Sus scrofa: one gene and its partner. The protein of the gene in region 1 interacts with the protein of each later gene in a pairwise test. Links are inferred from orthologs where the notes say so. Each region holds a gene or a part of one and is shown on either strand. Other genes may lie near its edges.

Evidence for each region.
Region 2: the proteins of PCBD1 (region 1) and TFF3 interact in binary tests that used the Homo sapiens proteins (3 or more experiments, as listed by UniProt). The two-hybrid records come from large-scale screens. The link is inferred for Sus scrofa from reciprocal best matches to the Homo sapiens genes PCBD1 and TFF3.

Annotation. Positions count from the first base shown.
Region 1 is NC_010456.5:73,804,862-73,808,606, forward strand, and holds the start of PCBD1 (pterin-4-alpha-carbinolamine dehydratase), read right to left. Parts: upstream 2,387-3,745; 5' UTR 2,302-2,386; coding exon 2,299-2,301; intron 1-2,298. UniProt on the Homo sapiens protein: Involved in tetrahydrobiopterin biosynthesis. Seems to both prevent the formation of 7-pterins and accelerate the formation of quinonoid-BH2. Coactivator for HNF1A-dependent transcription.
Region 2 is NC_010455.5:205,641,746-205,645,490, reverse strand, and holds the start of TFF3 (trefoil factor 3 precursor), read left to right. Parts: upstream 1-1,157; 5' UTR 1,158-1,198; coding exon 1,199-1,280; intron 1,281-2,870; coding exon 2,871-3,017; intron 3,018-3,745. UniProt on the Homo sapiens protein: Involved in the maintenance and repair of the intestinal mucosa. Promotes the mobility of epithelial cells in healing processes (motogen).

The sequences.
Region 1 (3,745 bases):
TTCCAGGCAATTCTTAGTCACACCAGAGTCCACGACCCCCGGCAGCACCTCCCAGTGCGTACTGCACCGTGCTCCCACGCAGCCTCTGGTTCCCAGCTTCTGGGCCTACGTTTCTCAGATTCTCACCTTCTTTTCTATTGTGTCACCTCAGGAAGCCAGAGCCACAGAGCTCAGCCCCCAAAGCAGATGTAACTTGGCCAAGGGCAAAGGGCAAGGCCAGTGCCCCAGCCTATCACCCGCTGTGCACGCTGCCCAAACTGGCGCAGTTCAGGCCGTGAGTGGAACCCTCAGAGAACAGAAGCAAGCAAAGGTCAGTTTCCACCTCTAAGAAGATCCAGGTGGAGGCGCTTAAGGGATCCCAGTATTGAGGCCCCTAAAGTAGAACTACCTGAGGGTGGAAAGTGTAAGTGCTAAATGAGAAGTGAGTCAGTAAGGCCTGGGGAGAGCACTTGAGGAAGGTTAATCTGGCTTTTATGAGGCGGTCCTGGAAGACTGGAAGCCAGGTGGGCTTGAGGCGGTCATCTCCCCTGGCTCAACAGCTGAAAAAGGGCACAAGAACTGCCACTTCAGTGATCAGCAAGAGAAGCCAAGGGGCACTTTAGGACACTCCACTGTTACTAAAGGAATGACATCTCCCTTTTGTTTTTGTCTTTTTAGGGCCGCACCCACGGCATATGGAGGTTCCCAGGCTAGGGGTCTAATCAGAGCTGTAGCTGCTGGCCTACACCACAGCCACACAACACAGGATCGGAGCCGTGTCTGTGACCTACACTACAGCTCTTGGCAATGCCCGATCTTAACCCACTGAGCAAGGCCAGGGATCAAACCTGAGTCCTCATGGTTGCTAGTTAGATTTGTTTCTGCTGTGCCATGACAGGAACTCCCGATGTCATCTGCCTTTTTAAAAGGAGACTTCCTGGGGGCAAGTAGGCTTGTGACAGGCCTTTAGGTTTGGGGTAGAACTGGGCTCTTATAACTCAACCTGTTCTCCCTCCTGAAAGCGCACATTCCCTCTGGACAACCCCGGCTTGGTCTGTCTCCTCTCCTGGGCTCCAGAAGGCCAGCGAGGGCAGTGGAGTCCTGCATCACCGCCCAAACCCGTCTCTGTTCCAGAGCCGGCCCTGTCTCAGTGGCTGATAAACCTGGTCCGTGTTTCCAGCCTCTAGTTCTCTGGCTCTGAAAGGAGGACATGTGCACTAGAGGAGCTCCTAGGAGGCTCCCCTTCCTCTTTAGAATCTTCGGGAACCCCCCCCCCACATTTCACAGCCTGGGGCTGAACTGAGGAGCCCCTCTGAGATCTGGGATCAGAGAGGGGGCAGGGGTGTGTTTGCTTAGTAAGTCACAGGTCAGCCCTGGCCTCAGCCTGGGCCCAGGGAGGCTGTGGGTGTTACTGATTACCTGCAGCCTACAGTTTTGGGGCCTCAGTGCACCTCACAATGGGCTCACTCACCACCTCCCCTCCACCCAAGTCATAGCCTTCAAAATGCCCTCCCAGGCCTCATCACAGCCCTAGTCGCTCCTAAGGCTTTGGGGCCTAATGCTTTGACTGCTTAGTAAAGCTTCCTGCTGTGCAGGCTGGCCTATCCTCCCAGGCCACATCTGAGCACAGGGCCTAAGGCTCCCCTCAGGGAAAGCTCAGGGCAGACGGTGGATGACTCTGAGCAATCATGTCACCCGTGGCTGGGCACAGGCCTCAAACTAGGTGCCCCCCCGGGGGGGCTGGCTCTCAGGTTGGGGGCAGCACACAGGGCTGAGCAGAAGTGCAAGAGAGAAGGGCAGTAAACAGGCAGGCAGAGGCACATGCAAATTCAGTCGCCCCGCCCCCTTTGCACACTCACAAGGCTTCCCCCCACCCCCGACCACCCGGTCCCTACCCTAGCCCCCAGTGTAGAACAGAATCATGCCACCAAGGAGGGCTACGTCTGCAGGCTCACTACGTCCCCTCCCCGCTGCCCGTCTCACTGCCCCACCCCCACCGGGAGAGCTCTCTAAGCAGGGCCTGCGCGGCCTTGAGGCCTCAGGCACAGATGGCCAGGGAGCCGGGGAAAGCCTGGGCTCCCGCCTCGCCGTCACCCAGACCTGCCACCGCCCCGCTTCCGACCTCAGCTTTCCCCCAGGGGACCACTGGCGGGGTGGGGTACCGGCGGGACAGAGACCCCGATTCCCCCAGGCCGGCGCGGCTGCTGTGCAAGGAGCTGGGAGGGACCGCCCCCCCGCTCCTGGCCGGGTCCCCTGGGCCGGCCTCGGCGGGCCCCTTCCTCTCCGCCGCACCCCCCTCCTAACCCGGCCGCCCCTCACCATGCCGGGCGGCGCAGACGCGGGCGATCAGCAGGTGGTAGCGGAGCGGAAGAGCGCGAAGCCCGGCGCACCGGGAAGCCGTCGGGCGGGGCAGCGCTCGGGCCGCCCGGGGCGGGAGCGAGGCCGGGCAGGGGCCGCCCACCCGTAATCATTAACTCCAGCTGCGGCTCCCTTCCAGGACTTTCCTCATTGCCAAGCTTGCAGCGAGGTCAGAGGTTAAGGACGCGTGGGCTCCTAACGCAGACTTGGGTTTATGCATCGCGCACTGCCCCTTACCAGCTGTGTGACCCTCGACGCCAGATTGCTTTTTCTTTTTTAGAAAAACGTCTTACTGAGGAATAAACCCACACAATACACTGCCCGTATTTAAAGTGTACAATGTGATGCCTTTTGGCATATGTATGCATCCTTGCAACCATCACCACGATGACGAGGACATGACCACAAGCCCTAAATTGCCTCCTCCCTCCTCAGAGATCTATTGACCTGCTGCCTTTACTATAGATTAGATTGCGTTTTCTGGAAGGCTATGTAAATGGAAATCATATGGGTTACCCTCTTTTTAGATCTGCCTCCTTTCACTCAGCGTAATTACTTTGAGGTTTACCCATGTCGATGCATATATCAATAGTTTTCCCTTTGATAACTAAGTAGAAATTATTTTACAGTATTATATTGTAATGGATATACTACAATTTGTTGGACTTTGGGTTGTTTCCAGTTTTTGATTAGTACAAATAAAGCTGCTAGGAAAGTTTGCCTGCAAGTCTTTGGATATATGCTTTAATTTTTCTTGGGGAAATACCTGGGAATGGAATGGCTAGGTCATAGAACAGGTATATGCTTATAAGTTGTTAGGAAACTGCCAAACTGCTTCTCAAAGTAGCAGGACTATTTTCCACTGCCACCAGTGGCATATGACAGTGCAGCTTCACCTTCACCTAGAGGGAATACTCCTAAGCCAATCTTTTTATTATTTAGCCATTCTAATTGGTGCACAGTAGTATCTCACTGGTGGTTTTCAGTTGCCTTAATGACTAATGATATTAAATATCTTTTCATGTGCTTATTTGCCAATGGTCAGTCATTGGTGAATTGCCTGTTCAAATTTCCTGCCCATTAAAAGTAATAGTTTGTTTTCTTATTGCATTTTGAGAGTTCTTCATTCTGAATACAAGCACTTTATCAGATATGTGATTTGGCATATTTCGTTTGCATTTCCACAATGTCTCTCAAAAGGCGAATGTTCTTGATTTTGATGACACCCAATTTATCAACTCTTTCTTTTATGGATTGGTATTTTGGTGTTGTAACTAGGAATCGTTGCCTAATCCTAGGTCACAAAGATTCTTCTCCTGTGTTTTCTTCTATATTTAATAGTTTTTCGTTTTATTTTACAGAATTTAGAGTGGTCTTTTTAAGTTGGTTTTTGGGAGCTATCTAGACA
Region 2 (3,745 bases), on another chromosome or scaffold:
TTCTTTGCCCAACAACGCGTCTATTTCTTGGCTTGCTGTGCATCGACATTTTGAGCCTTAGCTTGTTCCTCTGGAAAATGGGTATAGTTGTTCCCGTCTCATTTAAATATGCTGTTATAAAGCAATTTTCAAGTTATAGCCTTCACCTTTTAAAAAGAAACAAACTGAGCAAAGGTGTAGAATAAGTTCTCAGTTGTGCTAAAAATGTGCTTAAATAGAGAACATTCTAGAAAAATACCTAAGACAGTGTTAAACTGGACATCACCGGAGAAAAGGTTGGTGGTGGGGATTCTTCTGTATTGTCTGATTGAAAAAAAAAAAACAGCTGCACATATTACATTTTTATGAAAATGTTTTGAATAAGTTTATTCAATTTATTTATTAAAATGATGATAAAAAATCATTTTTTCTAGAGAAAAGCAAAAAAGAAAGAAAAGGAACTTCCCCCTTTCAAAATTGGAAGAGAGAAATGAAATCTCTATGCACCACATACCTGACTTGTGGTTGTCACCTGTTTTCTTTTTTTTTTCAGGGCTGCAGGTGCAGCATATGGACGTTCCCAGGCTAGGGGTCAAGTCGGAGTTGCAGCTGCCGGCCTACACCACAGCCACAGCGACGCCAGATCTGAGCCTTGTCTGTGACCTACCCTGCAGCTCATGGCAAGGCCGGATCCTTAACCTCCTGAGTGGGGCCAAGGATAGAACCTGTATCTTCATGGAGACTAGTTGGGTTTGCCTCTGCTGAGCCACAATGGGAACTCCTGTTACCACTTTTCAAAAATCCGAGGCTGGTCTGGGATTAAGTGGCCCGTGAACCCCCTTCACTGAGCAGGGACTCTCCTGGACGGCTCCCGGGTGGGTTGTTAGGGCTAATGCCCAGGCTGGTTGGCCCTGCCCTCCCGCCCCACGCTGAGCCGTGAGCCTTTCCTTGGGGCCAGGCCAACACCTGGTAGAGAGGTGTTGGCTGGCAACTGGAATCTGCCTTCGCTGCTTCCTTGTTACCAAAGCCTTTGGGATGGACAAGCCTCCAGGGGCTTTGCAATCTGCAGGGAAGAGCAGGTGGGGCCGGAGCAGGAGGGAAGGGCTCCCCAAACAAACAGAATCCGGATGCCTGTGCAAACATGGGGCTATAAAGAAGTCTTTGCCTCGGACGTGGCACATCCGCTGAGCGGTCGGTTCCCCAGAACCTGCCCGTGACCATGGAGGCCAGGATGTTCTGGCTGCTAGTGGTGCTCCTGGCCTTGGCGTCCTCCAGCTCTGCCGGGGAGTATGTGGGCCTGTGTGAGTACCACTCTGTCTCCCCTACTTGGCAGTGGCGGGGAGGGGCCAGGGGCAAGGCGGGGCCCATGGCAGGGGCCGCTGGGCTCCAGGGCTTCCTGTGGGCTTGAGGAGAGGGACCAAGCCCCACGTCCCTTTAACCACTACCATTTACCAGACACCCAGGATTTCTCTCAACAGCCTTGCAAACGGGGTCTTGCTGCTCCCATTTTACAGACAAGGAAACTGAGTCTCTGAAAGTTAGTAACTGGCCCTCCCAGTCAGTGTTGAACTCAGGATTCAAGCCCAGGTCTGCCTTCCTTGCTAGAGATTTCCGAATGACAGTACAGGTCTTTGCATAGTATTCTGGCGGAGTCACAAAACAAAACAGAAAGATCCATGACAATGAGTTCTGGAACATTTTCCATCTGGTCAAACCTTTTTCTTTTAGCCATTGCGACTCGGGGCAAGGGCTGTGGTTGTTCCCGTCCCCTGAGTTAGGGTGTGGCTTTTATCAGGTTACCTGCTGAGCCATCTCAAGCAGTGGCTCCCAAACGGGGCACCTGTCAGCATCACCTGGAAACTTTGCCAACGCTTGAAGCTTGGGATGTGCCAGTCATATCAGAATGTCTCTGGGTGGGATCAGGTTTCCATGGAGTGAAAGACCCCAGGGCCAACAGAGTTTGGGAACCAGTGGAATACGGAATTACAGACTGGCTGCAATAGAAGACGAGCTGAGATTTCGTGTGATTTCTATTTTCCTGAGGAAAAGCACAGACAGGCAATGAGGCCAAGCAGACTTTTGCTGAACTTTAGACAAAGACTTAGATGAATATCAGAGTTCCCTTTGTGGCTCAGTGGTGACAAACCCCTCATAGTATCCATGAGGCTGTGGCTTCGATCCCTGGCCTCGCTCATGGGTCGGGTATCCGGCGTGACCATGAGCTGTGGTGCAAGTTGCAGGTGCGGCTTGGATCTGGTGTGGCTGTGGCTGTGGCTGTGGTCTAGACCGGCAGCTATAGCTCTGATTCAACCCTTAGCCTGGGGACTTCCATATGCCGTGGGTGCGGCCCTAAAAAGACAAAAAAAAAGAAAAGAAAAGAATATTAGAGATCAAAGAAAGTTCAGGGAAGGTGTGACAGGGGAGCAGGGAAGTGCAGAAAATGGCATATCCTGTGATTCTTCTTCTCTCGAATGTCTACCTATTATGCTACTATTTATTTTTGAAAGGGGGAAGTTTTATTGATAGAACAGCAAAGGGGACATTTGTTTCCGGGTTCAGGGGCCCCTGGATTCCCGTGGGTGCCTGCCAGCTGGAGGGAACCCAGGCCTTCTTGCCTTCCTGAAAGGTGCTGAGGGCACCCAAGTGAGAGACCCGGGGCAGCAGGCCAGACTTCCTACAGAACGTCTCTTTAAAATCCGTGTGCTGAGAGAGGGTCCTTGGCCAGCAGGTGTCGGGGTGGGGGATGGGATCACATCATTTGAACTCAGGAGCGGGTGGGGGTGGGGGTGGGAAGAGGGCAGGTTTGCAAAGCGCAGCCTCCAGACCAACCCCCCCCCCCGCCCCCCACCAGCAAGGGCTCTGACTCGGCTTTGTCGCTTTGTTTGGGGCAGCGGCGAACCAGTGTGCCGTCCCTGCCAAGGACAGGGTGGACTGCGGCTACCCCCAGGTCACCCCCGAGCAGTGCAACAACCGGGGCTGCTGCTTCGACTCCAGCATCCCCGGGGTGCCCTGGTGCTTCAAGCCCCTGCAGGAAACAGGTGAGCCGGCCCCCAGGAAGCCGCACACGCCTGGGCCTAGGGCGGTCCATTGGCCCAGGGCCTGGTGCAGACGAGAATCATTTCGGAAAGATGTTCGAAGTCGAGGCGCTATGTAGAGGGACCTGGTTTGAAACTACCCCAGAGAGAAATGGACAATCCGCAGTGTGAGAGCTGGGCTGACATTCAAGGCCATTTTCAGCAAACCACCCCCCAGTGTGTCTGTCACTGTGACACGCCCTCGCTCTGGGTGTGGAACCCGGCGTCACTCCCCGCCCTGCCCCCACCACGAGGGGCACCCCCTCTTTCATGGGTGCAGTGGGGTGCAGGATAGCCCCCTGGGGGACCCCGTGTCGGGGGCAGAGGGCAGTGCACAGCTGATTGGCCATCCTGCCTCCCTCGGGGCCCCCCCAGCTCCCCATATGTTGGGCCTGGAGGTCGCCGTGAGCCACCTGGTAGCCCAGGTGCCAGCTGAGCGCCTAAGACAGTTACTTAAGGCCCTTCCTGGAACCAGCACCTGGGGGCTGCTCCTGCCCTTTGTCCCCAGAGGAACGATGAAGGAGACCGTCTTCCAGCTGGTCCCAGCTCCCTGGTCAATGCTTCCCAGCAAACCCGGGCAGAGGTCCAGACATGGCTCTGGGCCCGCAAGGGAGTCACCTGTTGCCTTTGTGCTGGCCGTCCCCACCCGTCCAGCTCTTCAGTCTGGGACAACCCTTCTTTGGGTCCTGGCA